7 linked regions of the Cricetulus griseus genome follow. The protein of the gene in region 5 interacts with the protein of the main gene of each other region in a biochemical or structural test. Links are inferred from orthologs where the notes say so. Each region holds a gene or a part of one and is shown on either strand. Other genes may lie near its edges.

Region 1 (4,809 bases), on a different chromosome or scaffold from region 5:
TTTCTGGGAAGAATCCAATGTCATGGGATGGTGACAGTTTTCAGGGCTGGGGACTTAAATACTAATCTTCAAACTGGGCGCTTTCTTTCAGGGTAGAGGGATCAGGGAACTTCCTCTGTCTAGAGCAGGACAAGTCATTGTGATTTTTCTCTCCCTAGCCCAATACCCAATGTGCATTTAAAATAAGGTTTGGAGACCTACATCTCTGTCAGGTTCCCCTATCCCTGGAAGTCTCAGTCTTCCACTGGGGGGTCCACTTCTCTTAAGCTTCAAAGAGCTGTCTAGACTTTTATTCCTTCTTGGTGGTCCCTCAGAAGGAGGTCAAGGACCTTAGGATCCTAGAAGCCTTTTTTAGCCTCCTGGTAAGGGTTACCTTTTTTTTTTTTTTTTTTTTTGAGCTATACATTTCTTCCTCACTCCCCTTTCTTACTCCCCTCTCCCCTTCCATCCTCCCCACACACTTCCAATTTACTCAGGAGATCTTATATTTTTCCTGGAAGGGTCATCTCATTTTGTTTTGTTTTTGTTTTTTGAGACAGGGTCTTACATGCCCAGTCTGGCTCCACTTGCTATGTAGCTACGGCTGAACTTGAACTCGTTTCCTGCCTTTGCCTCCTGAGTACTGAAGCATCATTCTGATCCTCCATCTGTGGTTTTCTCTGTGGTGGGGATCAAACACAGGCTTTCTGCAAGTTAGGCAAACACTCTATCATCTGACTTACAGGCCCAGCCCGGGAAGTCATTTCTTTGGGTAAGTATAATGTAACATCTTAGTGCTCTGGGCTTTGGGGACAGCAAAAATGGATTCCTGGCTCCCATTCGGTGCTCAGACTTTGGGCCCAGGGGACCCTTAATGAACGAACGAATGAATGAGTTGTTACATACGGCTGATGATCAAGTTCCTCTTCTGGAAAGAAAGCTTATGCGCCTGATTGAATCGAGGGGAGCTCTGGACCGTGGGCACAGGAGAGACTGAGAAGATGGGGATAGAGGCAATTCCCAGAACTGTCTGAGGAACAGCGCCGAGACAGACTGGCTAGATCCTTTCGCCCTTGGAGACCTCCCAGCTCCTTCTCTCGGGCAGTGCTGGGATCGGCAGGCCTGGCGGCGGGCACTGAGCCCGTTCGTTCACAGCCTGGCTCAAGCCAGCAGGAAGAGGAGTGAGGCCAGGCAGCGAGGCGGGCCAGCTGGCCAGTGGGGAGTCCCGGGCGTAGGCGCGAGTAGATGGGGAACCCCCGGCGGTGCCTCCCAGGCTCCATTGTGTGTGCTGTGCCCCCCACCTTGGCCTCAGAGTCCTCCTCCATAAAACAATCCCTGAGATGAGATGGCTTGCGTGCCACTGGCAGGCGAGGCACGACGAGAGCTAGGGAGAGCTAAGAGACCAGGGAACCGAGACTTGCCCTAAAAGAGGCTGAGACGCGCCGGACCCTCAGCTCTCGAGGGCGGAGCTTCGAAGGGGCGGGCGCCCTGGGGCGGGTCCTGAGTGAGGGCGGGGCTGGGGCCGGCACCTGGGTGAGGTCGCGCAGCCCCGCCCCCTTGCACTTCCGTGTGCCGCGGCGCCAGAGCAGGAGGCGGCGGTCGCAGGATCCTGCGAGCGGCCCCTGGACATCTACCCTCCGTGCCGGGACCCGAGCGGTCCCCACTAGCCGCCGGACCCATCCTGATCAGGCCCGTGCTGACCTCCCCGTCCACGCGCTTCGGGGAGAGCCGCGCCACGAGACAGACCCCGGCCCGCCGGGACCCCTGGCGCCTGGCCCTGCGTCCGGAGGTGAGTGAGAACTGGGCCCGGGCGCGGGGTCCCAGCTAACTCGAGGGCGCAGCGGCCTTTTTCTCTTCTCTCTCCCGTGGCCTCTTTTCCTTCCCCTCTTCCCTCCTCGTCTTCCGTCCCCCTCTTCCTTCCCCGGTTCCCGGTTCTTAAACTGAGAAACTGAGCCATGAGCAGCCTAAGTCCCACCGAGCACGGGGACCCGCCGGTGCTTCGGTCCCCTGATTGGTCTGACTCTCTCTTCGACGGCGGGAGCCCAGACCCTACTGTTCCCGTCATCTTTACCATCCTGGGTGTCTTCAGTCCCACCGAGGGTCTCTGCGATCCTCCCGAATCTCCCTGGGGGCCTCTGCACGTTCGTCGGTCCTCATCTCCTCTTGCCTGGTCCTCCGTTTCCAGGCCAAGTCCGCTTGCCCCTCGCCGTCCAGTACTCCGTCTCCCCACCCCCACCAGGCCCGCCGCCCCCTCGACCCATTCCTCTCGGAGCCGCACCCCCGGCCCACGCTCGAAGGCCCCTGCCAGTCCAGCCTCTGGTCCTTTCCACCACGGGGCGGAGGCCGAGGCGCCCGTCGTCCTATCCTCCTGCGCCTGGATCCCAGGCGGGCAGACCGGCGCGGCGCCGCCTCCTCGCCCTATCTCTTTCTGTCTCGGTGTCTTTCTTGGTTTTCCATCTGTCTCTGGGCTGGGCGTGGCTTCAGTCTCTACCATTTCCCTGTCCTCTCCGCCCCTCTGAGCCCCCTCTCCCGGTAGCCTCTGCCTGGTGCTGTCAGTCTCGGTCCCACTGGAGAGACGCCACTCCCTCTGGGGGCCCAGTAAGGTGATGAGGGCAGCAGTGATGGGAGTTCCCTGCCCTGCTGGCTGGCAGTGGAGAGGGAGGCCAAAAGCACCACCACAACTGTTCCCACTTCCCCAACTCCCTCGGTATATAGTGGAGGGGAGGGAAGAGAGCCCCACTACGCACTCTGCTTAAACCTTTAGAATGAGTGGAGGAGATCTTTTTCCTCTGGTCCCTACCCCGGGCCCTTGGAGGATCTTGGCTTCTGTTGCTGGAGCATCTATGTCTAGGCCTGTGGGTATGTTGTGTATCTTGTCTCCTTGTATTTTGTTTGTCACTGTGGGACTTTCCCTGTGAATGTGTCCTTTTCCACGTGTGACTTGCTTGTGTGTATATGACTGTCTGAGTGTCCTGAGGCTCCATGTGTGGCCCTTGCAACTTCATGCATCATGTCTTGGTGAATTGTCATTTGTCTCCCCTCTATATTTTGTGATATGTGTCTTTGCTTGCTCATGTATATATATCTCTGTGTGCCCCGAAACTCCTGTGTGCACCATGTAATGGTGACTATCTGGCCGTGGGTATATTAGATCCTTGAATTGTGGGAGCCCACACTATTGGCGTGCCAACCTACAAGGCTTGTGTGTGAGTGTGTTTTTGTGTAAGAGTGCATACAATCATGTTTGATTCTTCTTCCTCTGCTGCTGATCTTCTGTGACCAGGCAGAGGGAGGGGACTAGTCCTTGGGTTTCCTCGTTCCTGCTATGGATTAGCCTGGGGTGTGGTGGATAGCCCAGCAGAGGGCGGCTGTGTGTGTGTGTGTGTGTGTGTGTGTGTGTGTGTGTGTGTGTGGTGTGTCCTCAGTGACAGTATCTCTGTATGATGTTGTAAAGGCTCTGGTATATGACAAGACTGTGCTGAAGGTGACACTGGCAATATGGAGCTGTAGGGGGAGAGTATGACTGGTAAGAGACTCACAGTCTGACTGTATGAAACTGCAGGTGTGTGTTGAGTGACAGTGGTTGTGGGTAACAGTGGCTGAGTTTGGGTGACAGCAACAGGAGGGGTGTTATAGAGTCTTTGGTGATAGGACTAGGAGGGAAGGTAAGTGCCTAGCTGTGAGAGCTTATGGGAGAACAGGAGGTGCTGGGCGTGTGCTCTGGAGACATGGAGAAAGCTGGAGGCAAGTCCTGGGGCTGCAGTGGTCTGATCAAGACTTCAAATTCTGAACCATAAAAGCCATGGGTTCAAATACTTATCATACCCTTTAAGAGCAGGAGTCCTACGCCAGGTCTCTGTGTGCTGAGTTTCCTTTGTGGAACAGAGCAAGCAAGAACTTAGGGATCAATGGCTCTTCAGCAGTCTTGGCTCACACTGAGAGTGAAGCTGTTCCTGGCTGTATGTCCCATTCTTCTGGAATCTGGGATGAATGAAAACCCAGATAGTTCCCAACAATATTTCCCACATGATGTGTTGTTTGCTTCTTCCTGTCTCCCTGACTAGGCTGCTTGCAGGAAGGAGGATTCTTCACAGAGTGCCAGGACACAGTCCTGCTCAGCTCCACCCCAATGGGACCCCAGTCTCTGTAGCTATGATGGAGTGAGTGGGGGGTGACTCAGAACTGTGATTATTGCAGGGTTCTGACACCATTTATCTGGCACAGCTAATTGGAGTTTAAATTTAAACTGGAAATAAGTACTGATGGAAAGATAAAGCCTAAGGCTGCTGCTGCCTCTAGGAAGTAGTGATGGGGTCTGGGGCAGTAGGACTTTGTTGCTGTTTGGAGACTGGGTTTCTCTGTGTAACAGCCCTGGCTGTCCTGGAACTCACTTTGTAGACCAGGCTGGCCTTGAACTCAGAGTCCACCTACCTCTGCTTCCTAAGTGCTGGGATTAAAGGTGTGCACTACCACCCTCCAGTGAGGGTGTGGGACCTTTTGAGAAAACCTAGCTTGCAGTGGAAATGCCAGAATACCTAGGCCAGGGCCCCTTGCTGCTTTTGCTGTTCCTCCTGTTCAGAATGTCTCTATGCCTCGGTTTTTTCAACTGTATAATGGTGCAATAGTAATGTGAGAATCACCTGAAACTACAAAACAAGGACTAAGATGGATCCTTATCTATCTATTATGTTCTCCTCTTGTGCTTTTTTAGTGGTCCTGATGATTGAAGCCAGGGCCTTACTTGGAGTTATTAATGAACTACATCCTAAACTCTTTTTTTTTTTTTTTAATTTTTGAAACAGAGTCTTATTTTGTTTCCCCAGGCTGGTC
Region 2 (4,919 bases), on a different chromosome or scaffold from region 5:
GGAGTCAACTCAAAAGCCAGAGTGTTAGCACACACTTACATTCCCAACACTTGTCAGGCAGAGGCGATGGGATCAAAACTCCAGGGTCATTATCAGCTACACTGCAAGTTCAGGGCCACCCTGGGCTACCAGTTTACCCTGTCGTAAACAAGGTCCAATGTGATGGCTCAGTGGGTAATAGCACTTAACCACCATCCTGATGACCTGAATTCAATCCTTGGGACTCATGTTGAGTTGGGGGGGGGCGTGGGGGAAGTGACCAAAATATATTGTATTTAATAAATTTAAATTAAAAAAATAGCTTTGAAGATAAAACACTACCACATCTCTGCATCCACTCACCTATGTTCCTTATCCTTTCTGCCTAAACTACCTGCTGCTTCTAGTCACTTTATCACCCTGAATTTGAGTTTTCACTTGCCTTTTAGAGTTTGTTGTTTTCTTTAAAAAGCTATTATGGTACATCTTGTTTTATTGCTGTAAAGAGACACTGTGACTATAATAACTTTTATAAAACATTTAATTGGGGCTAGCTTACAGTTTCAGAGGTTTAGTCCATTATCATCAGGGCTGGAAGTGTGGTGGGGTGCAGGCAGACATGGTGCTGGAAAAGTAGCTGGATGTTCTGCATCTCGTTCACGGGCAGCAGGAAGAGAGACTCTAGGATTGGGATGGGCTTTTTGAAATCTCAAAGCCCACCCCCAGTGACATACTTCCTCTAACAAGGCTACACCTACTCCTTTCAAATAGTTCATAATTGAGCCTTGTTGTCTAACTATACTCCCCTTTATTTAGTGTACTCCATTGTTTGAAAGCCCTGTAACTATCCATTCCCCTGTCAGTTGGCATTTAAATCCCTAAGGACAGTGCCATGGTGAACAACCATGCCATTTGATTTGTAAATACACCAGGTAGACTTTGATACATATTAATAGACCTGGGCCTCTGAGAAAACATAATTATCAGAAACACTTAGGTGAAAGTTCTCAACTCTAGTATAATTGACATTGAGTGCAGCCCTCCTGTGCATTGTACAGTGTTGAGCATTGTCCCCAGCCTCTGCACCACTAGATGCCACTAGCCCTGAGAGGGTTATATGTCCAGTTACCCTCTGTTCAGAGCCAGGTCTGGGTTGAAAGGAGGACTGTGATGGGAATAATATACTCCAAATGCATGTTTCCATGGCAGGAATGAGTCAGCTGTCTAGTAGCATCCTCAAGCCTAGCTTGTTTACGTTGCACGGGTGCTGGAAGATGCAAAGAATAGCAAGTCTTGGCATTACAAAGCCTTTTCTGAAATAAGTGGTTGGTTTTCGATCAGAGTTTATTCTCATTAACTTTAGCATCTCTCCCCTCATTTTGTTTGGAGTGTTAAAAGGGAAGCCCCCAGTTGTAAATGGAAGGTTCACAATGATTGTGGTTAGAATACAAAGTAATTGGTTTCATCCTGGCTTCTTTGTACATATGTGCCATTGTACATTTTTTTTATTTGCTGTTTTTTAAGATGGTTTCACTGTATATCCCATGTTGGCTTTGCCCAGGCAATCATCTTTAGTGCTGATTATGGAGTAATGAAATTCTGCCTTTTTGACAATTTTTAAAATTTTTCTTTTGTGTTTCTGCTACCATGGAGAAGCATATTTAAAGACATGCTGTGTGTAGGTATTACTTGACCACCATGTAAACTATTTCTACTTTGTATGAAAGAATTCCTAGGATTTTATTTATAAATGTCATTTTTTAACATATATTAAAATGGTGCTCAAAAGATGGCTCAACAGTTAAGAGTATGCATTGGTCTTTCAGAGGACCCAGGTTCAGTTCCTGATATGTTGGGCAGCTCTCAACATCATATAACTCCAATACAGGTAGCCACATAACCCCAACACAGACATACACACATGTACATAATTCACAATAATAAAAGTAAATCTTTAGAAAAAATGTATGTAGTTCATAGAAACTAACCAACTATAGGTGATAATTGGTATGCAAGGTGAGTTGCTAGGGGTTTCTTATGGAGAACTAAAGTTATATATGCCAATTTCCAGCGTGAGAAGACAGTTGAAGTGAAGAAAAGTAAATCCTGTGAAGCCGATGTCTCCAGCGACCTTCGAAAAGAAGTCGAAGACCTTTATAAGCTTTCCCTGCCTGAAGATTTCTATCACTTCTGGAAGTTCTGTGAAGACCTTGATCCTGAAAAGCCAGCTGGTGAGTTCCTTTGTGCTTCTGTGACTGGAAGAGATGATAGGACACTGGAGGAAAGACAGAACCAACTCATAGAGAAAGGGGATTGCAATCAGGTATGGTGACACATGCCTATTACAGTCTCCGAAATTAGGACACTGGTTTGAGAGTTTAACGAGTTTCAGGCCAGCCTGGGCTACACAGTGAGATCATATCAAAAAAAGAAGACAGAGGAACATTCCCACAGTTTGTAATGAGAGCTATGTTGTCAAAGAAACAAATTAATACTTAACTGTAGTCAGTTTTTATGGCTGTGACCTGAGAAAAACAGCCTGGCAGGAAGACAGAGTTATTTGGAGTCATGGTTTTAAAGGTTCCTGACCCTGGTTAGTTGACTTTCTTGTTTGGGGGCCTGTGATATGTTATGCCAGAGGGATGTGTTGGGAAACTTGTGTACATCTTGGCAAACAGAAAGCAAAGAACATTAGGGTGCAAGAATCATAGGATAGGATGGAACCCTTCAAGTCATTGACCACTTCCTCCGGCCAGACCTTACCTCCTACTGGCCAGGTCACTTCTCAGTAATGTCACTAGCTGGGGCCCATGCTTTCAGTACATGAGCCTTTTTAGTTTAACGTCATACTCAAACCATAATGCTATAATATGCTACTGTCACCTATTGGCAAAGGCAATCGGTTTCAGGATATTCCTCCATGTACGTGTAAAGGAAAATTAGCAGTTGCATAAACTTGTCTTATAGACTAAGTAAACTAAGAATTTTCTTCAAGGATATTTACTGAGGGGTGGAGGGCTTAATGCTTGATTGTATCCTTCCTAGAAAAGCTGCAGGCACTGTGAGATTATCAGTTTGCACATCTGCACAGCCTTCATGGCACTGTGGTTTTCTTACTCTGCCCCCATGGTTGTGAAAACAGATGGAGTCATTGAGTGTTATGGTCCACAGTGTAGCTGAAAGTCAACAGAACCTGGAGTGCCCACTGAGGAGAAGGAAAGAAAATGGTTTTTTCTATCGTTGACCTATGTTGTCTCCCCCATAATCTGTGTATTTGTAGCTAATAGTGGATAGCAGTGAGGCAAGGGAAATGTGTGGCTCTTAGGCCTAAAAGAATGCAGAGCAGCTTGGCTTGGGCTACATGAGGGACAGGAATGTTTCAAATGTTAAGCTACTTCAGTAGTAGGTTTAGAGGGAATTCTAAATTTAGTGCCACATTTCTGTTAAACATTCTTCCATTGAGCAAAAACACTTTTACAGATTTTAAAAGCATTCTTTAAAACAACTTGCTTAAGAATTATTTGGAATCAGGAGGCAGGGGGAAGTGAACCTCTCATTTTGAGGCCAGCCTGGTCTACACGGTAAATTCCATAACAGCCAGGGCTACACAGAAAAACCCTGTCTCAAAATAAGAGAAAAAAAAAAAAAGTGATGAAAGGCATTATTTCCTACTTGCCTCTAGAAAGTGTTGCCTGAGTAAACTTATTTTCCTTATAGATGCACTTGCCACAAGCCTTGGACTTCGGTTAGTGGGTCCCTATGATATCCTTGCTGGGAAACATAAAATGAAGACAAAATCCACAGGCTTGAACTGTAATCTTCACTGGAGGTTTTACTATGACCCTCCTGAGTTCCAGACCATTATTATTGGAGATAATAAAACTCAGTACCACATGGGGTATTTCAGGTAAAAGATCATCTCTCTCTCTCAAATACAGCTGCTTTGGTATCAATGAGTCTTCCAGCCCTTCACTGGCATCCCCAAGGAAAGACTTGTTTCCTCTTATGGTGGCTCTGTGGTTTACCTATTGTTCTGGCTATCCTTCACCTCTGTAGCCTGCCTAGGCTGGTGAACTCTTTACATTAATCTTCCCTGATCTCTTTTTCTCTTCCAATATAAAGTTTTGTCCTTTGGGGATCAGAAGAGCTTGTTTGAAGCCCAAATAAGATGATGTAAACCAGTTGTTTGACTTAAACCATGCACTTCCAGGGGCCAAAGGACTCAAAAGATTGGTCCTGCCATTTATTATCTTGATGAGGGTATGCCAGTCAGTGGTGACTGTGGTCTTTCTGTGACTCAGTTTCTTAAAATTACAGAGATAATAGCATATATTTGATAGGAATATTATGAGAATGAAGGGAATGCCCGCAGATAGGTAAACTGTTAGCAGATAGGGTAATGTGAAAAATAGCTTGTGCACATGTAGCAGTAGTCCTGTGTTGTAAAGTCAAAGTGAAGTAATAGAAGAAAAGATGAGTCATGGCTACAGAGAAGTACTGTACAGAACACTCGTGGGGCTGAGAATGGGGTCAGATGGATTTTGTTCTTGGTTTTGACACTAATTGGCTGCTAGAACCTTAGCCAAGAATCTACTGGTTTCTTCAATTTTAAAATAAAATATACATGAATAAGATTCTTCAATTTTTTTTATAATCTGTCTTGTTTATTTTTGGCTTTTACTCCACTTTTTCTTCTTGTTCCCCCCCCCCCCCCGTAATAAATTGTAAAATTAAGGTGATCAGTTGTTTGTAACACTCTGTTCACAGACTTTCTTTCCCATCTTTTATATTTGAGAAAAAATAATTAGGTACTAAGAACCCTGGCTTTGTGTTCTGATAGATAAGATTTTTCATAGACAGTCTGGAGATACTTGGAGCTTAAACCTAGTAAGCTTATTCTGCTTTTTACAGGTGCAATTTGTCTATAGACTTAATTTTCT
Region 3 (4,994 bases), on a different chromosome or scaffold from region 5:
AATCACAACAGCAATTTTGCTTTCTGGAAGATTTCCAGGAAGTCCACTGGCTGTGTGCCTTCACCAGGCAGAGCACCGTGCAAAGCAGCTCTTTTAGTCCTGGTTGGCTTGAAACATCTAGAGCAGTGATCAAGACCTTCCTGAACTTTGTATGTTGTCTTCATATTCAAAGGCACAGTAATTAGAGGATGCAACACAGAGGAACTACTGTCATACTAAACAGAGAATTTTGCACTTCTGCATCCAGTGCGGATTGCTGGAATCCTTTGCAAAGTCGTCTTCATTTGAGTGCACACTTTTCCTTGGGTCTTCTGCTTTGGTTGAGACCTTTCACATTAGCTAACCCTTTCTCTCGTGAACACAACAGTTACTACATTTAGGCGCCTTTAGACCTTTGCTTAAACTTCGAATAAAGTTAACCAATTCGGTTTGCTGATTGCCCGTCGCCTCCGCGGGTGCCAGGGTTTCCAAGATTCAAGAACTGGTTGTACCCCCACTAGCACCCCCACCCCCAGTCTTGGGACTTTCCCTTCACACGTGGCCAGGTCACCGGCCCAATGACCCCAGCTCGGAATCTGTCCTTGTGCCCCTTCAACACCCAAGGCCCAGCACCTCTCCGCGTTCCTTCCTCTTCCCGGTGCCACCGGGTGCCCATGGGGAAGATCTCTCCCGGGTACCTGCGGCACCGCGAGTTACCCTAGAGCCCCCAATCTCTCCCAGCTCTCCTTGCCACACTCGAGGCACCTGGCCATCCTGGTGGGTAGAGATGAGGTTCAGTCCGCCGCCGCCCACGGTCGGGAGCCCTCAAGGCAGGCGCCCTGGAGAAGGAGGTGAGGAAGGGGAGCGAGCCGCGCCCTCGGGCCGACTTGGAGGGCTCCGCGGCCGCAGCCCGAGGGCCCCGCGTCGCTCTCCCGAGCCAGGGTTCTCGGGAGCAGGCCGCGCAGGAGACGTTGGAGGGAGGGGTTCGTGGCTGTTGGGGGAACCGGCTCCTGGGGAACAGTCCCTTCCAGGGTGGGTACTGTGGGCAGGCCGTCGTCCGCCCTCGCAGGGGACGCCGGCCAGACGGGCGCGAGTGGCGACGTGCAGTGCGGTGCGCCCAGTACGCCCAGCTTTGCGGCTCAGGAGCCCCGGGTTGCGCGGTTAGCCGCGCCCGGTAGCGCTCCGGGGCCAAGCATCAGCCGGCGGCGCTGCAGGTGAGCGGTCGCCAGGGCGATGAGGACCCGGGCGCACGCCCGCCGCGGTTGGCATGGAAGCGGCTCGGAGGGGCCCGGACTGGTCGCTGATTGGCTGGTTCAACAGACGCGGCTGGGTCGAAAGTGCTCAGTGGCGAGCGCAGCAGCCCTAGCCGCTGGAGCCGGCGCCCCTGGAATCTCTCCACTCCGGGTCCCCTCCCTTCACGCCAGGCCCCGCCCGCCCGGCCCCGGCCTGGGTGCGCTGGCTAATCGCCTCAGAAGGAGAAGAACCTGAGAATCAGGGCCGCCTGGGGTTCCCAAGCAGGTTTGGGGGCCTTCCTCTGGTGAGAAGCACTTGCTTGTCACTTGGGAAGGGGAATCATTTGTCCACAGTTCGAGTTTCAGGGTTTAGTCTGAGATGAGGGAAGGTGGGGAGGAAAATCAGGGATCCTAGGCAACACCTCTCTATCCCCCCCCCCCCCGCCCAAACAACACAAATCAGTGTGGGCTGAGAATCCCGATGTGGAGTTTGGACAGACAGCCCCCCCTCCCTCCCTCCCTTCCCTCCCTCCCACTCTCTCTCTCATTGCAACCTTCAGCCTGGGGTCAGATTAAAGCCTATTCAACCAGTGTTTGGTTGTGAGTTGCTCTGATGCCTGCTGCTGTGGCTCGCTTCGGAAACGCTGACCTTAATGTTTGTTGAGAAGTTGAGAAATGGGTGGTAACTCCGCCGGGGCTTGGCATTCTCTGCATTCCTGGGTCCCCAGGTTGAGAGGGTTGACTAACTGTCTCCTTCTCTTTCCCTGGATAGCAGCAGGTTGTGGCTTGCTAGGCAATGCGTCGCCACAGCTCCAAGAGTGGAGTCGCTCTCCCTCCAGTGGGCCAAGGTCCCGAGGCTTGTCAAATGCTCACTAGAGCTCAGCTCGGCCAGGATCCCCCACAGAGAACCGTGCTAGGGGTGTTGACTGAAAATGAGCAGTACAGGAGGACCTGTGGCCAGGTAATGACCCAGGAGCATCAGGGAAGATGCTGTGGAGAAGGCCTGCCTGCCTGCGGCAATGTGCATGTCTGAGTGTGTGTGTGTGTGTGTGTGTGTGTGTGTGTGTGTGTGTGTGTGTGTGTGTGTGTGTGTGTGTGTGTTTCCCCCTATATCAAAGAAGTAAATCTTAGAGACTGTTTGGGTTAGGAATGTGTTAAGTGACTTAAGAGTTAGTCAGAAGGGAGATGCGATTACTTTGATCTGTAGTGCAGGGGTGGGGGTGGGGTTGGGAGGAACCTCTGGGCCAGAAAGTTGTATGGATGAGCCAGGCCACCAGAAATCAATCAATGGAGACAGCGTGTGTACCAGGATACACTAGTTTATCTTTTAAGAGAAAGGTGGCATCCAGAGCAAACATATCTACCACTACAGACAATGGCACTGAGATGCTACCAGTCTGCTCTTAACTGACTGTATAACTGGCACCGAAGACAGCATCAAATTCAGACGTTTAAATGTAGAGGAGAGATTTGAATCTGCAGCAGTGACTTTTTGAGATAGAAAATAAAGTGTCCTCTAAGCCTGTTATTAGATAAACCCTTGTAACGAGGCCTCAATTCTGTATTACAAGTCTGTGGAACCCAATGGTTACAAGAGTCCAGTCCAGCAGGTGGGTGGGTTTTAAGGGCAGGTTAGAGATGGTTTATCCCTCCCACCTGTTACAGTAGAGGCTCATTCAGAGACCCTTCATCTACTGCCTCTTCAAGTCCTCTGCTCTTGGGTCTGACTGTATCCATTGGTGGCAGTGATCCCCCAGATGATCCCTTTAATGCTCTGAGTCAAGCCAAGTGAAAATAGTTTTAACAAAAATGGCTTAGCAATGTTTCACTTCTTTAAACTTGCCATCTGAGACCTGAATTTATGAATTAAAAGTGGTGTTTACATTGAATGTCCTTGTTTGAAATTCACACTCAGCTCTTGTGCTACCGGAGTTACTGCTTGGTGTCTCCTCGACACTCCATTCCCCTACACCTTCCATAGAAACCCACCTCAAGCCTGATTCCCTATTATTTGTTCTTTGGTTTCTATTTGGTTTTAAAATAATTTAATTCCTTCATTACTATGTATGTACATGTGTGCATATATGATGTGTGTTTGTGAGCATGCATGCCACAGCATTCATGTAGAGGTTGATGACAAGATTGGAAGCTCCTTCTGAGGTTTGAACTCAGGTCACTGGGCTTGATAACAAGAGTCTTTACCCTCTGAACCGTCTTGTTGCCTCAACCCTTAATTGTTCACAGCCCTGCTCCTTCAGAATAAAGAATAAGATGACTGTATCCTGCTTTCCCAAAAGAATGCTTCAGCCAGAACTTCACTCTTCCTCCCAACTCCAGGGAGTAGGGAGAGTCTAGGCCAAGCTGGCTTTGATGTGGTACATAGCTCTAAATGGCCTCAAATTCAGGACCCTCCTACCTCATCCATTCTAGTGCTACAATTACATGTTTGTTCACTTTGGGCCAGCAGCTAGAATCTTTACTGCTCCCCTGTGTTATTCCCTTCCTGCTCTGTGACTGGAACCCATGACCTCTTGGATTTCAAGGTACCTCTCTAACAATTCTTCTCTTTCTCCAATTTCTTATCTCTCTGAAGCAAATCCATACATGCATGGATATATGGAAATAGCTTCCCATCTTCAAACTTGTCCAGCCACACAGCTATCTCTGTGCAGCTACTGTCCCAGTTACAGCAAGATTTATTAGAAACTGTCTATCTTAATGGTATGGGCATTCCACCAGGGTGACAATGTGGGGATGACACTTTTCTGTGGTATTCCTACTGTCCAGAAGAGTGATGGGCCTGGCTAGACAAGCTTGGTGTGTTTGTTGGCTTGGCACTTTCTGTTTCTGAGTCTTCTCTCACTCAGTTTTGTCTTCCTTGATATATTGACACCTTTCACATAAGTGGCCATTCTTCCTTCTTTGAAACCATTTATTCTTGCTCAGTTTAGTAAAAAGTACTCTTTCTTGATGTGTTATGCAACACATTGCCTCTCCTCTGTCTCTTACACACACACACACACACACACACACACACACAACACACACACAGATACACACATACACACACACACACAGATACACACACACACACACACACACACACACACACACACACACACACGTAGAGCAGAACTCAAACCCAGCAGTAACATGAGTCATGGCTAGTTGTAACTTGCCTCATGGAATTTTTTCCTCTAACATTTTATTACAAATTGTTTTTCTTATTAAACATAAGTTTAACTTCCTTGATGAAAAGTAAATTCATGAAGTGACATATGAATTGGGAAGTGGTATCCAATAATAACTACCAAGATTAAGTATAAGCAAAATGTTCACAGTTGATGGTACTGGCATATCAAAGTCTAACTCCTAGGCCTGCTCTGGCTGCCACACATAACTCTCCTTAGACCACTGGTTGCCAGTGTTCACTATGACAGGGCCACTGTTGTTTCTGTTGTTCTCTCTGTAAGAATAAAGAAAAGAAATGATTTGAGAAAATTCCCCAAGAGTAATGATGATATACAAAAATATTTTCATACCATTTTAGAATGTTTTGTAGCACAGGGCTCCAAGGTCATGATGTTTTCCTGAATAACTGGGTAAGAAATGAAAGCTTTACGGGCATCTCCAATGGAAAGTTTGGCATTTAAACAGAGGACTCAGTAACTAAGGATCAAGAGTGATGCTGAGTTCTTGTAAAATACTGTAGTGCTCTAAATGTAAAGGACAATTTGCAATTTCCCCTAGAATATTGTAACTAATCAGTTTTCTAAGTGTATT
Region 4 (4,247 bases), on a different chromosome or scaffold from region 5:
ACAGGGCATTTGCAGCTGCACTCCCCCACTGACCTGCCTTGTGGGTCCCTCTGATGTCGTGTTTCATCTACACACCATGGAAGGCTCTGACTAATGCACAGCCAGACTTATTCTAGTTCTCCTCACTCACCTGCACACAGCCACCAAATCACACAGGCTTTTCAAAGCCAGGCATTTGCAGCTGGAAAAGAGGCTCTTTGTTTATCTTTAGAGAGTAAAAGAAAGAAAATGAAGTGGTACCAGCAACCCAATCCTCCATTCCCCCCATCCTCCATTCCCCCAATCCTCTATTCCCCCATGCCCAGCCCTGAGGGAGAGCTCTTTATAGGCTGGGTGTCTTTCCCTTTGAGCAGTGGCTCTCCTGCCCTGTCCCCATGCCCAGTTCCCCATCAAAGCGCTCTACCAGGGGTACCCCTGTCATCTTTATGTTGAATTCAAGGCTAGTTGTAGCAAAGGGCATATTCAGGAATTTCCCATAAATCCAATCCTGCTGGGCACATCCTACTGGAGTGAGAATGAGAGCATAGAGCCCCCAGGATTAAAGATGTGATGAGGAAAATGCTTGAAGGGCAGCTTGGGCACAGACAGCTTCTTGGCATCTCTTACACCCCATCCCCATCCCCATCCCAAGAGGTTCCTCTGCCTCGATAACAGCTGTAAGTACCCTTCCTTGAGCTCTTTCAGGGTACCACCTGCTGGGCTCTGGACCAGCCAGAAACCCCATCATAGGAACTGGTGTGTCTAATAGATAAGCCCTTTGAGTGTAGGCACCCAGCTGGGATGTAGAGTAGAATGCTGGCCCAAAGTCATGTGACCTCAAAGCTATGATGTTCCATGATACCTCCAGTCCTCCATACCTCAGGATGGTGACTGTAAGCCCTCTAGAAGGGACAAAGGACATATCCAGAAGCTAGCTCCTGTCACTGACACCAAGCAGGACAGGGTCTTGTCAGATCAGAAGGGCTCCAGTTCCTCTCTGCCCTGTTCTGAAGTTCCCTCCACCCCCAAGTAAAGGCAGAGAGCATTCCCCGTACCCCTCACAGATACCCTCTAAACATAAAACCATCTGTAACCTGACTTGTTCATAATTAGATTTTCAGCACATAATTACCAGATTAATGGATTAATTATAATTTATTTGCAAATCACTAAACGCATTACTCCAAAACATTTTTCCCTAAAGATTATTTGGGGCTGCTCAGGGCAAGATAATGAAAGGGACGGTTTAAAAAATGGGAAATGCACAACCAGCAGCCTAATTACAGATCATCAAATCAATCTCCGCCTTCACAGAGCTAACCTTGCCACCTGCGGTGTGTGGGGAAATGTGGTCCAGTTCTTCTCACAGATCTTCAAGCGCGGTGATAATGCATTAACCTTTCTGTCTTCTCCTCTTTGTGTGGAACAGCCTCCATTTGATGGTGAAGATGAGGACGAACTGTTTCAGTCTATAATGGAGCACAACGTGTCCTACCCCAAATCCTTGTCCAAAGAAGCTGTCTCCATCTGCAAAGGAGTGAGTGCATCTGAGTTTCCTCCCCGGCAGTAGAGGCAATACCCCTCCCATACCTGATGTTTTTGAGACAGGGTCTTGCTATTTAGCTCAGCCAGTCCTGAACTCCCTATGTAGCCCAGGCTGGCCTTGAACTTGCAATCCTCTTGCTTGAACCTTCCAAGTGCTGAGGTTACAGGTATGCACCGCCATGCCTGGCTTCCTTTTCCCGCCTCCTAAGAGAGACCCCAGAACTATCACAAATGAATGCTGCTGCCCAATCCGGTGACATGCAAGGAGATGCAACAGACTTGGATTCCAGTACTGTCCAAGCACCTTGTCTCATCTTCTTATTCTCCTGCACTCCAGTTCCTAGTCCATTTCCTAACATTTCACAGGGTTGGGGCACAGCTCAGTCAGTAAAGTGATTGCCATGTACGCACAAAGACTTGAGTCCGGTCCTCGGAACCCATGTAAAACAGCCAAGTTGAAGTAAAGGTAGGTGGACCCCTAAGCCCACTGGCCAGTCAGCATAACTCCAGTCCATGTGTTCCAAGGAAGAACGACACCTGTTATCGGCCTTTACACACATGCACACACTCCTACCTACACCCTCTGCCTTCCACCCACATTCACATACATGCATCGCAGGCTCTCAGGGAGTGCTAATTCTCACATCTGGCCTCCTAACTAATTAATTAATTCACCTAACTAATTGCCACATCTGAGACACAGTTTGTCCTTTCTCTCTCTTAAGATAGACACATTTTAAAAATGGGTATAGCCCATCCACAGACAGATCAATGGGTTTTTATGAAATGGATGCATATGTAACTGTACCCTGGTCAAGAGACACCGAACCCCAAATGCCCTTCCTCTCTCCCCTTACAGTTGCTGTTACCCACCACCCCGAGATAATCAGTGTTAACCGCACATACCGGTCTTGCCTATCTCAGCCTTTGCACAGAGGGGACTCTTCAGTGGGTGTCCCAGACCTGGCTCTTCAGCGCAGCATGGCAGTAGTAAAAGTGCCCAAATAGCCATGTTTCCCTTCCATGTTGCTGCATGGTTTTCACTGTGTGGACATCAGACAGTCCAGCCCTGAATTCCGCTCATGCGGGAGGGCACTTGCATTGTTTCCCCCTTGGCTGGAGGCTGTTATAAATGGAATTGTTTTGAACTCTCTGGGTCCTGGGCCAACTCTCTTCTTTCAGGGAATTGCTACAGATGGAACTGGTGGCCGTGATTTAAGTCATTTTTAGTGGTCAAGTTCTGAAAATCACAAAATTCTTGTTCTTAATTTACCAAGAGAGTGTACCACACCCGGTGTTTCCTATTTAGTGTGTTTGAAGGTCAAGGCCCTGGTGCCCGTGACAGCTGAGGAGTCTCTTGCTGTAGAAGAGCCCAGGGTTGGCACCTCCCTCTGAGTCCTGCATCAGATACCTTGAAATGAACCACTTGCTGTCTTGGCTGCAACACGTGTTTTCCTAACCCATGTGCCTGATATTTAGATCTGGGCAATGAGGAGGAATTCGATGCTTGTTGTAGCATCCCGAATGATGCTGGCCTGCAGTACTTTCATCACACAAGATATTTTAGTGACCCCTAACTTTTTATCAGATTGCATGTAAATAACATGAACATCTCTTGCTACTCCTCGCCCTCCCTCCCTCCCTTCCCCTTTGGCAGTGCTAAGGATTGGACCTAGAACTTTACACCCTGTAAAGGAAGCTCCCTACCACTGAGCCATATCCCCAGTGCCTGCTTCCCCATTCCCATACAGAATGCCAGGTTCAAAGCACACAATACTTAGAGATGCCTGTTTGAATTTTTATTCCATTTTGGTCATTGTTTCCAGCTGCTTCCTTACTGTGAAAATCATTCTACAAAAGCCACACTTGCCACAGCACAAGTGAGCTTCCAGTGTGTTCTCAGACAGCAGCACCATCTATGCCCAGAGGCAGAGCTGGCCAGGGAAGGTGCTGACTCTTGGGAGGCTGCTGTCATCAGACTGACTTTTTGTCTCTTTCTCTCCAGCTCATGACCAAACACCCTGCCAAGCGGCTGGGCTGCGGGCCTGAGGGAGAGCGGGACGTCAGAGAGCACGCCTTCTTCAGGAGAATCGACTGGGAAAAACTGGAGAACAGGGAAATCCAACCACCATTCAAGCCCAAAGTGGTGAGTCCCACAAAAGCAGGCCAGTGTCCTGCGCTGGGTTCCTGATCCCGGGTGTGGCCCTCTCTCCCTTTCTCTGGCCTTGGCCGAGTAAAGAAAACAGTCGAGTCACCAGCCGTGGTGCACAGCCATGGGCTCTGCTGCCTTTTCAAAGTGAGAACAGAGAGAGGAGAGATGCACAGACTCTTAATCTCCCTTGCCTGCTTAACAATGGCCACAGAACACCCAAGCCATTGACCACCAGGTTGTGCCCTGGACTCTGGGGATATTGTACCTGTAGAGCTTTGCCCTGGTCCTTGACAGGACTTGGGCCTTCAATCTGTTGCTAGCTTACCCCTAGATCTGCCTGCTCCACAGGCCTCCCGACAACCTGCCCCTCATGGGACCCTGAAGCACACCTAAATCTCCACCAGCTCACAGGCAGGGTGTGGACACAGTTCCCACAGTGGCTTCTGCATCCACCGTGAGGGGTGGGTGGCTGCCACCAGCTCCACCATTGCTGGCTTTTTTCAGCTCCTACTATATGATTCCCATCTTTAAAACCCTATATAACCCATCATATGACGGCCCCTGTTCCAGG
Region 5 (3,416 bases):
CTTCTTTGATATTGCTTATTGTTCTTTAGAAACGTTCCTACTTTGAAAGTAATACAATTTACTATATAGGTGTGTCGATCTTGTACACCATTCCCTGACAATGTGTACCAAACATGTTGTCCTCTTGTCCTCTTTAGTATCCTTGACTGATTGGTAAAACAGTCAGTACTTTATTTTTTTTGAGATAAGGTCTCAAGTAGCTCAGTGTTAAATGTAGTCACCTGAATATGTAGCAATGAATGACCTTGTGATTGCAATCTTGCCTCAACTGAGTAATTGGTAGGATTATAGGTGTGACCCTGAAAACCTTGATGAAGATTGTCTTTGTCAAAGGAAACTGCATTTTTTTTCTTTGTAAAATAAAACAGAATCCTTGTGATTTATTTTACATCTGAATGAATCGGATGTAGTCCTTTTTACATCTTTCTGCACCACAGCCTGTGTTACCTTTCACCATAGTAAGCTTCACCTTCTCTCCTAGAGCAAACTTCACCACCCCCTTTCTCTTTCCATTGCTTTATTTTTCTCAAATTCTTTGAAACTCTAATTGCCAGGCCCTTAATAATATTCTAAAATATTGCCCATCTTGGCATCTCAATATACAAAAAATACCCATATTGGCATTGACTACTTAAGAGCATGCCTGATTGTCCTGCTTGCTAAATGTTCTGAAATTCTCACTGGTCATCTCAACCAACTACATTTGAGGACTGGAGGGTCACTCTAATAATTTCCTGAAAGTTTTAAAATTTTCCTCACGCAAATTATCTTTAGTTAGTATTTTCTGTCTTCAGATACCATTAGCAACTAACAAAAGCAAGTCAGATCCATATCTAATTTATTTTGACTTAGAAGTAAATTGGTTTGCCTCTGAAGGTAGTGACTTCTTTTTAAATATTTGAGTTACTTTTTAAAGCTTTATGTGTATGAGGTTTTGTCTCCATGTGTATATGTGCACCACTTACTTGCCTGATAATCCGGAGAATTGAGAAGAAAGCCTGAGATACTCCGGGGCTGGAGTTACAGACAGTTGCAAGCTGCCCTGTGAGTGCTGGGAAACTAAAGCAGACCTGCAAGAGCAGTAGCTGCTCTTACCTGCCAATCCATTGCCACAACTCTTAAAGTCAATGATTTCTAAACTCCCGACTTCAAAGAAGAAAGTTTCACAATGGAAAAATTTTCAATCTCCATTAAAGATAGCAATGTGCAGAAAGTACGAGAAGCCGGACCTATTTTAAAGAGAAATATCTAAAATGTTTAATTTCAGTCTGCCGCCAGCCAAACCTGTGTTATTTGCTACAGTCAGAAACAAAGTTTGTGACCAAACCAAAAAAGATATTTCTTTTACTCTTGCAAAAATTAAAGGCGGGACTTGTGGACAAATCCTTTTAAGTAATGTTCCTTGCATACTTCGTATACGTTTATGGAAATATGCAAGTAACTATCAGGATGTCCTCTCCTTTGAGGATTCTTCTGAAACACTGGAGGGATTTAAAAAAAAATATCTTTAGTCTGTTGATTGTGATTCAAAAAAAGCACACATAGGTATGTGAACCCGAAGGCTGTTCTCCTTTGGAACACCAAACTGCCAATTTCTGCGCCCTTATTTTCAGTAGTAAGTAAAAATTTGGGGACTAACAAACACAATTTGGGATTCTAACCTTGTTTCGCGCGGCCAAAGGGCGGTGGATTGGACGCTCCACCAATCACAGCGCAGCTCTGGCTTATATAAGCCCGGAGTCGGAGCTAAGGAGCACAGCAAAATTTGCTCTTTGAGTTAGTTTTCCTTTGCTTTTATTGTAGCTTACAATCTCGCCATGTCTGAAACTGCTCCTGCCGAAACTGCTGCTCCGGCTCCTGTGGAGAAGTCTCCCGCAAAGAAGAAGGCGACCAAAAAGGCTGGCGCAACGAAGCGCAAGGCCACCGGTCCCCCGGTGTCCGAGCTCATCACCAAGGCTGTGTCTGCCTCTAAGGAGCGCAGTGGCGTGTCCCTGGCCGCGCTCAAGAAGGCTTTGGCTGCAGGTGGCTACGACGTGGAGAAGAACAACAGCCGCATCAAGCTGGGGCTCAAGAGCCTGGTGAGCAAGGGCACCCTGGTGCAGACCAAGGGCACCGGCGCCTCCGGCTCCTTCAAGCTCAACAAGAAGGCGGCTTCCGGCGAGGCCAAGCCCAAAGCCAAGAAGGCAGGCGCCGCCAAGGCTAAGAAGCCTTCAGGTTCCACCCCGAAAAAGCCTAAGAAGGCTGCGGGGGCCAAGAAGACCGTGAAGAAAACTCCAAAGAAAGCAAAGAAGCCTGCGGCCGCTGGAGTGAAGAAAGTGGCCAAGAGCCCTAAGAAGGCCAAGGCAGCTAAGCCTAAGAAGGCAGCCAAGAGCCCGGCAAAGCCCAAGGCTGTGAAGCCAAAGGCAGCCAAGCCTAAAGTTGCCAAGCCTAAGACAGCTAAGCCTAAAGCTGCTAAGGCGAAGAAGGCTGTTTCTAAAAAGAAGTAGGTTTGCTTCTAATAGCAACCAAGCCCCAAAGGCTCTTTTCAGAGCCACCCAGAGAGCTCGGTGAATGTAGCTGTACACTGACCTAACCCTCTAAGTCCCGCCAACTACCTGAACCATCTGGGTGCCACAGTGGAATTCAGGTAACACTAGCACGGAGTACTCCTGCCCTCACGTACTGCTGAGTAGTTGCCATGTCCACGCGGGCACCCGCCTTTTTCCTCACTGTGCGCGCTCCCCCCCCCCCCCCCGGCTAATCCTCCCACTCCCATCCCGGACTAGTAGGTCTTGTCCTTTGCGCGCGTCTATCTTTACCCTCTGTTCTGTGAACACATTGTTCGTCAGGAATGTAGCTCTCCAGAGTTCACTTAGACTGCAGTTAGCTTTTCATAACTGAAAAATCAACGCGCGGCGCGAAAAGAGGCCGAATTGATTGGCTGTACATAATCGTATTTCCTAACCCAGTTGCATCATGGTTTTGTACCAACCTTGCCTCGATTGGACAGCCAGTCGATGACGTTTGGAGAGTCACTCCACTCAATTGCCGCAACTCATTTACAGCTAGTGTAGAGACTACCCTGCACCCTTCACTTTATCAAGTTGCCTTTTCTTCCTAGTATTAGGGCCCTCGAAGTCAGCTCCTTACCGGAAGGAGTTTTTAAGAAGGCGGTGACGCAGTCGCAGAAGGACCATTAGTGTAATCGTAGCCATAAGTAGAGTATATGTACAAGGTGCTGAAGCAGCTACACTCCAGCTCAGACATCTCTTCGAATGCCATGTGCCAATCAGGCCGTGTCCAAGTGTCCCAGGGGTGTCCAAATTTCAAGTCACTTACACTTTATGTTTGTATTTTCGAGACAGGGTTTCAATGTGTAACCGCCTTGCTTGTCCTGGAACTAGGTCTTTAGACCAGGCTGTCCTCGAACTTGCCAT
Region 6 (3,232 bases), on a different chromosome or scaffold from region 5:
AAGAATGGAAGCATTCTAAGTCGGATGGCACCACATTTTCACCACCATTCATTTACTCCTATTGAGGAAGCAGAAGGGCCACAAGGGCAAAAATGGTGCATTCAAAGGCTGTTTACAATTGGTTTGGAGACTGCTTACCCATTCACCGTTGTCAAGAATTTTCAGTGCTAAGCAAAAAGCTCCAGCTGCAATCTGAGAAGGAGCAAAGTGCACCATGTCATAGTCCAACATAGTGAGCTCCATGAGGTATTTGGCCAAAGTATGCTGTTCAACGTCAACCTGAAACAGATCCACATACATACCACTGAGCGTCTTTTGCAGTTTTGCTTTTGCGCTAACTTACAAAGCCCGATCTGTGACTACAAACTCTCAAATACAATGGTCCACAGAAGGCTTTAAGAGTAACCATATAATATCCAACCTGATTAGAAATAATAACAGCCATATCCTTCTCCCATGTACTTATATATCTACCGTATTCTCTAATATAGCAAAATAAAAATTTCAAGTAATGTGTACCTCTCCAATCTTAGAGGCTCTACGGAGGAAGTGCAGAGGCAGAGGGCGACCCAAACTGAAGTTTAGAACTCTTAGAATCTTCATTTCCATCTGTCTGATTTGGTGCTTAGTGTAAGTATTATTAGTCACAAAAGCGAAGTCACCTATTTCTGGAGGGTACATTTCTTCATATTTGCTTGCAATAAACATGGCAGTCACACCAACTAGCTGCAGCATCTTCTTGGGTACACAGTTATCCTGCAATTGAAATGTCAATGAACATGTACTTGAACATCTCAACTGGTGGCACCTTATCTCCCTGTAAAGACAGATACCTGCCTACCATGTAATGGGACCCTGGGTTTGACTGTCAGTGTCCACTCCCCCCTCCTCCAAGAGTCTTCTAGAACCCGGGAATGAAGAACTCTCATTACTTAATTACACATACCTGCATGAACCGGTCAATAATGGAAACAGTCATGTACATAGTCTCTTGCAGCAGCCTAAATTTCATTTGAACCTGTATCAGCCAGTCAATTAGGATGGCTCTCATGTTTCCAGTGACTTCACGGCCCAGTAGATATCTTGGTCTAACTGATTGTTCTTCCTGCAAAAGAAAAATGTCATTTATCCTGGAAGCATCACTCTATACGCCATTTGTGACCACAAAGACCAATTAACTAATATAAAACAGCTCCATGGCAAAGCTTTATTAAGAAAGCAAGGATTAAAATAGCATGACAGGCTTTTCATATTAAGATATTGTGACATTCAATTAACCAGTGGAAAGCAGGCCCACACTTACACCTGTCATAATCTCAGATCAATATCGATTTTACTAATTTCACTTTGTGATATAGAAAAAATTAATCACTAAGTTATATATCAGCTAGAATTTAGCTGATCTTCCAGAGGTCCTGAGTTCAATTCCCAGCATGCTAGCTCAACCATCTATAATGAGATCTAGTGCCCTCTTCTGGCCTGCGGGCATACATGCAGGCAGAACACTATGTATATGTACAAATATAAAAAAGAGAGAATAAGGAATTAAGAACAACTATGTTTAACTACCAAATTCAGTTCTGCAGTTAGGATACAACAAAAAAAACCTTTTAGTATTGACAAGAATTACAAAGTAGACAGCAAGCTTGGACAGATAATCCTATTGAGGACTACTTTAGGAAATATAAATTACGTCAAAAGGAATGGCAGCAAAATGGTTGACTCTTAAGTCAATCCCACCCATTTAAAGGTGGAAGGAAAACCAATTCTTGAAAGTTGTCCTCTGAGCCCCCCATATGCACCCTGTCACAAAGGATAAGAGACTGAGTAAATGAGTGGTAACTGAAGCAGACAGCGCGCTGGAGATATAGTTCAGTGGTAAAGCACCTCTTAGCATGCACAAAGTGCTGTATTTTGTTCCTAGGATTGGAGGTGGCAAATCTGATAAAACTACATTAAAGAACTGTCTTGTTTAAAGAGGTGAAAGCGTTAATGTCCTTAATATCCAACTGGGCTAAGTTGACAAAACCAACCACTTCAATTTTTTGAGTGTGCTCCTTTTGGGCACAAGTAATAGTTTTCCTGCCAAGCACAAGCACACTGACCAAAAAAAAAAAAAAAATCAGAAAAAACCCTTGTGTTGGGACAGCTATAAGTTCTTTAGCATCTTTATCTACCTCCTCCTCCAACCACAAGTTTGGGACTTTCCCCATGTGTGATGTGTGTGTCTACTTTAGGAAGAGTCATAATAGTATCTCCCCAACACAGAAATTCTGTATTCAACGTGACAAATCCACCCCACGGAGTTAGTGACTTTATTTCCATTTCAAAACAGAATTTCAAGTGTTATCTATTGTCAAGAAATGTCAAATGTGCTGTTGATAAAAATCTTTAATTGCTGAGTTAGTGGTGCACAACTTTTTGAGACCAGCCTGGTCTACAGTCAGTTCCAGGACAGTCAGGGGTACACAGGGAAGCCTGGACTCATAAAAACCAAAAGAAAAACAGTTCCTTAATAAACCTAGCTGAATTCAGTAAAATCGTATTGTAACAACAATACTGACCTCCAGCTGTCTGAGATAAGCATATATGTCTTTCACATATTCACTACAGAGGTTTGGATCAGCGCCATCATCTGCATCCACATCGCTCACGGCAAGAATTACATCAGAGAAAGCCTGACACAGGTATTCTTCTGCAGGGGCACATCCAGATGTTTCCATTGGGCTTGGAGAGGGATTATCAACCTTAAAAAAGAGAGACCCCATCAAACAAAGAGAAGCACATGCTACAGTCCAGGAAGGAAGGTCAGTATTGGTATCCTCAATTTAAGAAATCATTCTGAATAAATTAATTTCATTAAAGGAAAAGCATTTCAAATTTTCTTTTTTCTCAAATTTCCTTTTGGGAAATGATTAGTATTCAAAGTAAATGCTGGGCTGGAGAGATGGCTTGCTTAGCTGTAAAAAACACTTGTTTTTGCCAAGGGCTAGAGTCTAATTTCTATGCAGGAACCAGGTAACTCAAAATTCTTGCTCCAGGTTATGATGCCCTCTTCTGCCCTCCTTGGGCATTGCACTTAAGTGCAAACCCCTGCCCTACATATGAAAAATAAATCTTTAATTTAAAAAAAAAAAGAAAAAGAAAATTTCAGAGCCAGGCATGATGATACATGCAGTTAATCCTAGTACTTCTCTGTGAATTGAAGCCAGCCTGGTCTCCACAGCAAACT
Region 7 (3,034 bases), on a different chromosome or scaffold from region 5:
TTAGCACTCTATACAGTCACAGGACAAAGCTGGGTACGTATTACAGTTGCTGGTTTGGTTTGGGCAGAAAGCTTAGCTGTAAGCTTGAATTTGAAAGCTCTGCTTCAAGAATCTGGGCCAACTGCCTGCTGCTAGCAGGGGAAGTAGTCAAACAGTCAAAATAAAAGATGGCATGAGCTTGAACATGTTAAAGATGAATGCCAACCTTAGGTCAACTGTAAGTGCATTCATTGGTCAATGCCCTGTGCTGTTACTAAAAACTCAATGGTTGTCTTTTCTCTGTAGCCTGAGTCATTGGTACAAAAGACTGGATATACCCTGGAAAGTCTTAAACCTTGTCTCATGGACCTTCACCAGACCTACCTCAGAGCAGCACAGCATGCTCAACAGTCAATAAGGGAAAAGTACAAACATTCAAAGTAAGAATCAGATTCTCATTCATTTAAAGGGTATGGTAATCTGCCACAGCTGCCTCAGTAAGGTAAATGTGTTAGGAAGCTATTGTACCTGGCATTTCCCCCTTTCATCTGGTAGGGTATGGGTAAGGTAACACACGTTTTGAGTCTAATCAAATAGAAATAGCATTTCCCTAGGCTGGGGCATATAAACTGTTCTGTGATCTCCCCAATGAATATTTACTAAAAAAAAATTTTTTTTCTGCTCAACAGATACCATGGTGTTTCTCTTCTCAACCCACCAGAGACACTAAATGTGTAAGAATGAAAGACTACCTTTGTTTAAAATGGGAGTTCACAATGTACAGTTTTGTCTTGGGTTTTAATCTCACAAATCATTTCACAATGTAGATGGTATAGCCACGGACAAATTATGGTATCCATTGCTTTTTAAATGGTTTTAATTTGTATATCTTTTGTACATGTGTCTATCTTAGATATTTGGCTAATTTTAATTGGTTTGTTAACATTTGGTGCTGCCAACTGTCAGGATAATAAGAATAAATTGATTTGGAAATCTTTGCAAGTCAAAGTTAATTTGAGATAAAAATAAGACTGATAATGTCACTTAGAAAGGCTAACTTGGTTTATTGTTCAGTGGGGGTAGAAAAAGCTTCCTAAAACTGAAATATTTCAGGGAAACTGATCTTCAAATTCTGACATTGGTTATTCTAAGCAACTGAACCAATTGCTGACTTGGTCATAAAATAAGCAAAAACTAGATTCTTCAGTGTAGCAGAGACTCCCCAGACTCATTCAGTTCTACTTTTACAAATAAGATTTTACATGGATTAGGAAGATTTTGTGCAACAGAAAAGTTGTACAGAAAGTTTATTCAAAGCATAATGTTACAGACAAAACAATTTATGAAACAGTTCAGCTCTTATAATGGATTTTCAAATAAAAAAATACCCAGTGCTGTTAAAGCACTGAATAAATATCCTTTTAGTAGTTTTATATATATATACACACAAAAATATCATTTTAGCTTTAATTAGCAGTTCTCTTCTTTTTCCTCCTTTTCACTTGACTTTTACTTGGTGCCTTTTCTTTTGCATTGGTGGTCTGAGCTCTGCGAAAATAAAGTAATACCACAACTCAGTGTATGTCCACTGAATCCTGGACTGGATCGCTGGAACTTTAAAGGCAAAGGCATCCTGTTTTACAGACATAAGTCCTATTTTTATGTATATTTGAAAGTAACCAGAAATCTGTTACCTTATTTTCTTTGGGTTCTTGTCTGGTTCCAAAATGATCATTTCTTCTTCTTCGCTATCTGACAGCACTATAGGGGCACCTTGGAGAAAATACCGAAAGTAAAAGTAACTACTTATTAGTATCATTAGTCTGAATGCTCCCATTTCCATGCACACACAGCTCAAGCTCTGCTGCCTGGAGGCAGCATATACAACATACTCTTTCCAAAAATTTTGTAAAAAATACATGTTTTTTGTAGTTTTTGTTTTTGTTTTTTTTTTTTTTAAGAGGACTCACGTAGGCCAGGACGGTCTAGTTTATTACTACCAGGGCTAACCATGAAAAATGTAGAGAACTTTTGTTTGCCCATTTTTGTCTTGAATATTAATTATATATATATATATGTAAATAAAGCATGCAAATTAATCATTTGCCTATTTTGGCTGTGTATTCTTGTCTCAGCATTCTTTATTCACATGCTTTAGAAAAACTCTACCATCATCATCCTTGTTATCTTAGCTGTTCATGAGCCTTACTAAATCTTAGGCAAATAGATATATACACAAGTGTAAAGACACTAGCCAGTGATAGTGAGGTAACAGCATTATTGATGGTTAAGACAACTGGATACAATGAATGGTATAAAACTCACCCATTAACCTAATTAAACCAACATTGTTCCCCTGTCAAAACAAAAACCAAGTCTATAAGCAATGATTCTCTTTCATGAAGACAAGTAGAATATGCATTAGTTCAGAGTGCATACTTCTCTGGTAAAGAACCTGAGTTCAGTTGCCAGCACCTACATATGGCAGGTCGCAACTTCCTGGAACTCCAGCAAGTTCTCTGACATCTATATGCATACCCTGGCACACATTTCTTTTTATGGCTTTTGGACCACAGCAAGTTAGACCTTCAAGGGACTTCTAACCTAAAGATAGTCACTGCTACCAATGTGGCCAATTTTGTGTGCATCTGTGTAAGTATACATGTGTGCTGGTCTCCACAGACCAAAAGATGTGTTGGTTCCCTTGGAGCTGGAATACAGAGGGTTGTGAACCATCCAGTGTGAGTACTGGGATCCAAACTCTGGCCCACATCATGAGCTTTTTGTTGTTTGAGTCAACCTACACAAAGTAGCTTGCAGGAGTGAGATCTTAAGGAAAACCCTTCAGTGCCATGGATATATTCTTGTTTTTCTGAGACAAGATCTCTAGTTTTTGGTGTCCCAAAACTCTCTATGTAGAACAAATATCCTCCTGCCTGTGTCTTCCCCAGTGCTGAGATTAAAGGTGTATGTCACACCTAGCCAGATGTAATTTTTTTAATTGTTTAAAAATATCACTATTATCGACAGGCAGTGGTGGCACATGCCTTTAATC

The links.
Region 1: of the proteins of H1-5 (region 5) and Prkcd, one has a biochemical effect on the other in vitro, tested with the Homo sapiens proteins (2 studies listed by BioGRID). The link is inferred for Cricetulus griseus from reciprocal best matches to the Homo sapiens genes H1-5 and PRKCD.
Region 2: the proteins of H1-5 (region 5) and histone PARylation factor 1 form a complex in vitro, tested with the Homo sapiens proteins (2 studies listed by BioGRID). The link is inferred for Cricetulus griseus from reciprocal best matches to the Homo sapiens genes H1-5 and HPF1.
Region 3: of the proteins of H1-5 (region 5) and Ccna1, one has a biochemical effect on the other in vitro, tested with the Homo sapiens proteins (2 studies listed by BioGRID). The link is inferred for Cricetulus griseus from reciprocal best matches to the Homo sapiens genes H1-5 and CCNA1.
Region 4: of the proteins of H1-5 (region 5) and Prkca, one has a biochemical effect on the other in vitro, tested with the Homo sapiens proteins (2 studies listed by BioGRID). The link is inferred for Cricetulus griseus from reciprocal best matches to the Homo sapiens genes H1-5 and PRKCA.
Region 6: of the proteins of H1-5 (region 5) and Ccnb1, one has a biochemical effect on the other in vitro, tested with the Homo sapiens proteins (2 studies listed by BioGRID). The link is inferred for Cricetulus griseus from reciprocal best matches to the Homo sapiens genes H1-5 and CCNB1.
Region 7: of the proteins of H1-5 (region 5) and Ccna2, one has a biochemical effect on the other in vitro, tested with the Homo sapiens proteins (2 studies listed by BioGRID). The link is inferred for Cricetulus griseus from reciprocal best matches to the Homo sapiens genes H1-5 and CCNA2.

Annotation. Positions count from the first base shown.
Region 1 is NW_023276807.1:189,104,240-189,109,048, forward strand, and holds the start of Prkcd (protein kinase C delta type), read left to right. Parts: upstream 1-1,534; 5' UTR 1,535-1,768; intron 1,769-4,809.
Region 2 is NW_023276806.1:238,645,307-238,650,225, forward strand, and holds the start of histone PARylation factor 1, read left to right. Parts: upstream 1-1,768; coding exon 1,769-1,786; intron 1,787-2,050; coding exon 2,051-2,210; intron 2,211-3,696; coding exon 3,697-3,886; intron 3,887-4,919. UniProt on the Homo sapiens protein: Cofactor for serine ADP-ribosylation that confers serine specificity on PARP1 and PARP2 and plays a key role in DNA damage response.
Region 3 is NW_023276806.1:96,102,022-96,107,015, forward strand, and holds the start of Ccna1 (cyclin-A1), read left to right. Parts: upstream 1-2,007; coding exon 2,008-2,172; intron 2,173-4,994. UniProt on the Homo sapiens protein: May be involved in the control of the cell cycle at the G1/S (start) and G2/M (mitosis) transitions. May primarily function in the control of the germline meiotic cell cycle and additionally in the control of mitotic cell cycle in some somatic cells.
Region 4 is NC_048600.1:120,914,079-120,918,325, reverse strand, and holds part of Prkca (protein kinase C alpha type), read left to right. Parts: intron 1-1,408; coding exon 1,409-1,516; intron 1,517-3,529; coding exon 3,530-3,670; intron 3,671-4,247. UniProt on the Homo sapiens protein: Calcium-activated, phospholipid- and diacylglycerol (DAG)-dependent serine/threonine-protein kinase that is involved in positive and negative regulation of cell proliferation, apoptosis, differentiation, migration and adhesion, tumorigenesis, cardiac hypertrophy, angiogenesis, platelet function and inflammation, by directly phosphorylating targets such as RAF1, BCL2, CSPG4, TNNT2/CTNT, or activating signaling cascade involving MAPK1/3 (ERK1/2) and RAP1GAP.
Region 5 is NC_048596.1:244,135,667-244,139,082, reverse strand, and holds H1-5 (histone H1.5), read left to right. Parts: upstream 1-1,745; 5' UTR 1,746-1,817; coding exon 1,818-2,486; 3' UTR 2,487-2,547; downstream 2,548-3,416. UniProt on the Homo sapiens protein: Histone H1 protein binds to linker DNA between nucleosomes forming the macromolecular structure known as the chromatin fiber. Histones H1 are necessary for the condensation of nucleosome chains into higher-order structured fibers.
Region 6 is NC_048595.1:319,289,193-319,292,424, forward strand, and holds part of Ccnb1 (G2/mitotic-specific cyclin-B1), read right to left. Parts: intron 2,748-3,232; coding exon 2,565-2,747; intron 1,106-2,564; coding exon 947-1,105; intron 757-946; coding exon 520-756; intron 280-519; coding exon 139-279; intron 1-138. UniProt on the Homo sapiens protein: Essential for the control of the cell cycle at the G2/M (mitosis) transition.
Region 7 is NW_023276806.1:113,102,919-113,105,952, forward strand, and holds the end of Ccna2 (cyclin-A2), read left to right. Parts: coding exon 1-33; intron 34-285; coding exon 286-419; intron 420-668; coding exon 669-717; 3' UTR 718-1,445; coding exon of another isoform or gene 1,446-1,527; 3' UTR 1,528-1,673; coding exon of another isoform or gene 1,674-1,752; 3' UTR 1,753-2,078; downstream 2,079-3,034. Other genes in the region: Exosc9 (exosome complex component RRP45), read right to left, coding at 1,446-1,527, 1,674-1,752. UniProt on the Homo sapiens protein: Cyclin which controls both the G1/S and the G2/M transition phases of the cell cycle. Functions through the formation of specific serine/threonine protein kinase holoenzyme complexes with the cyclin-dependent protein kinases CDK1 or CDK2.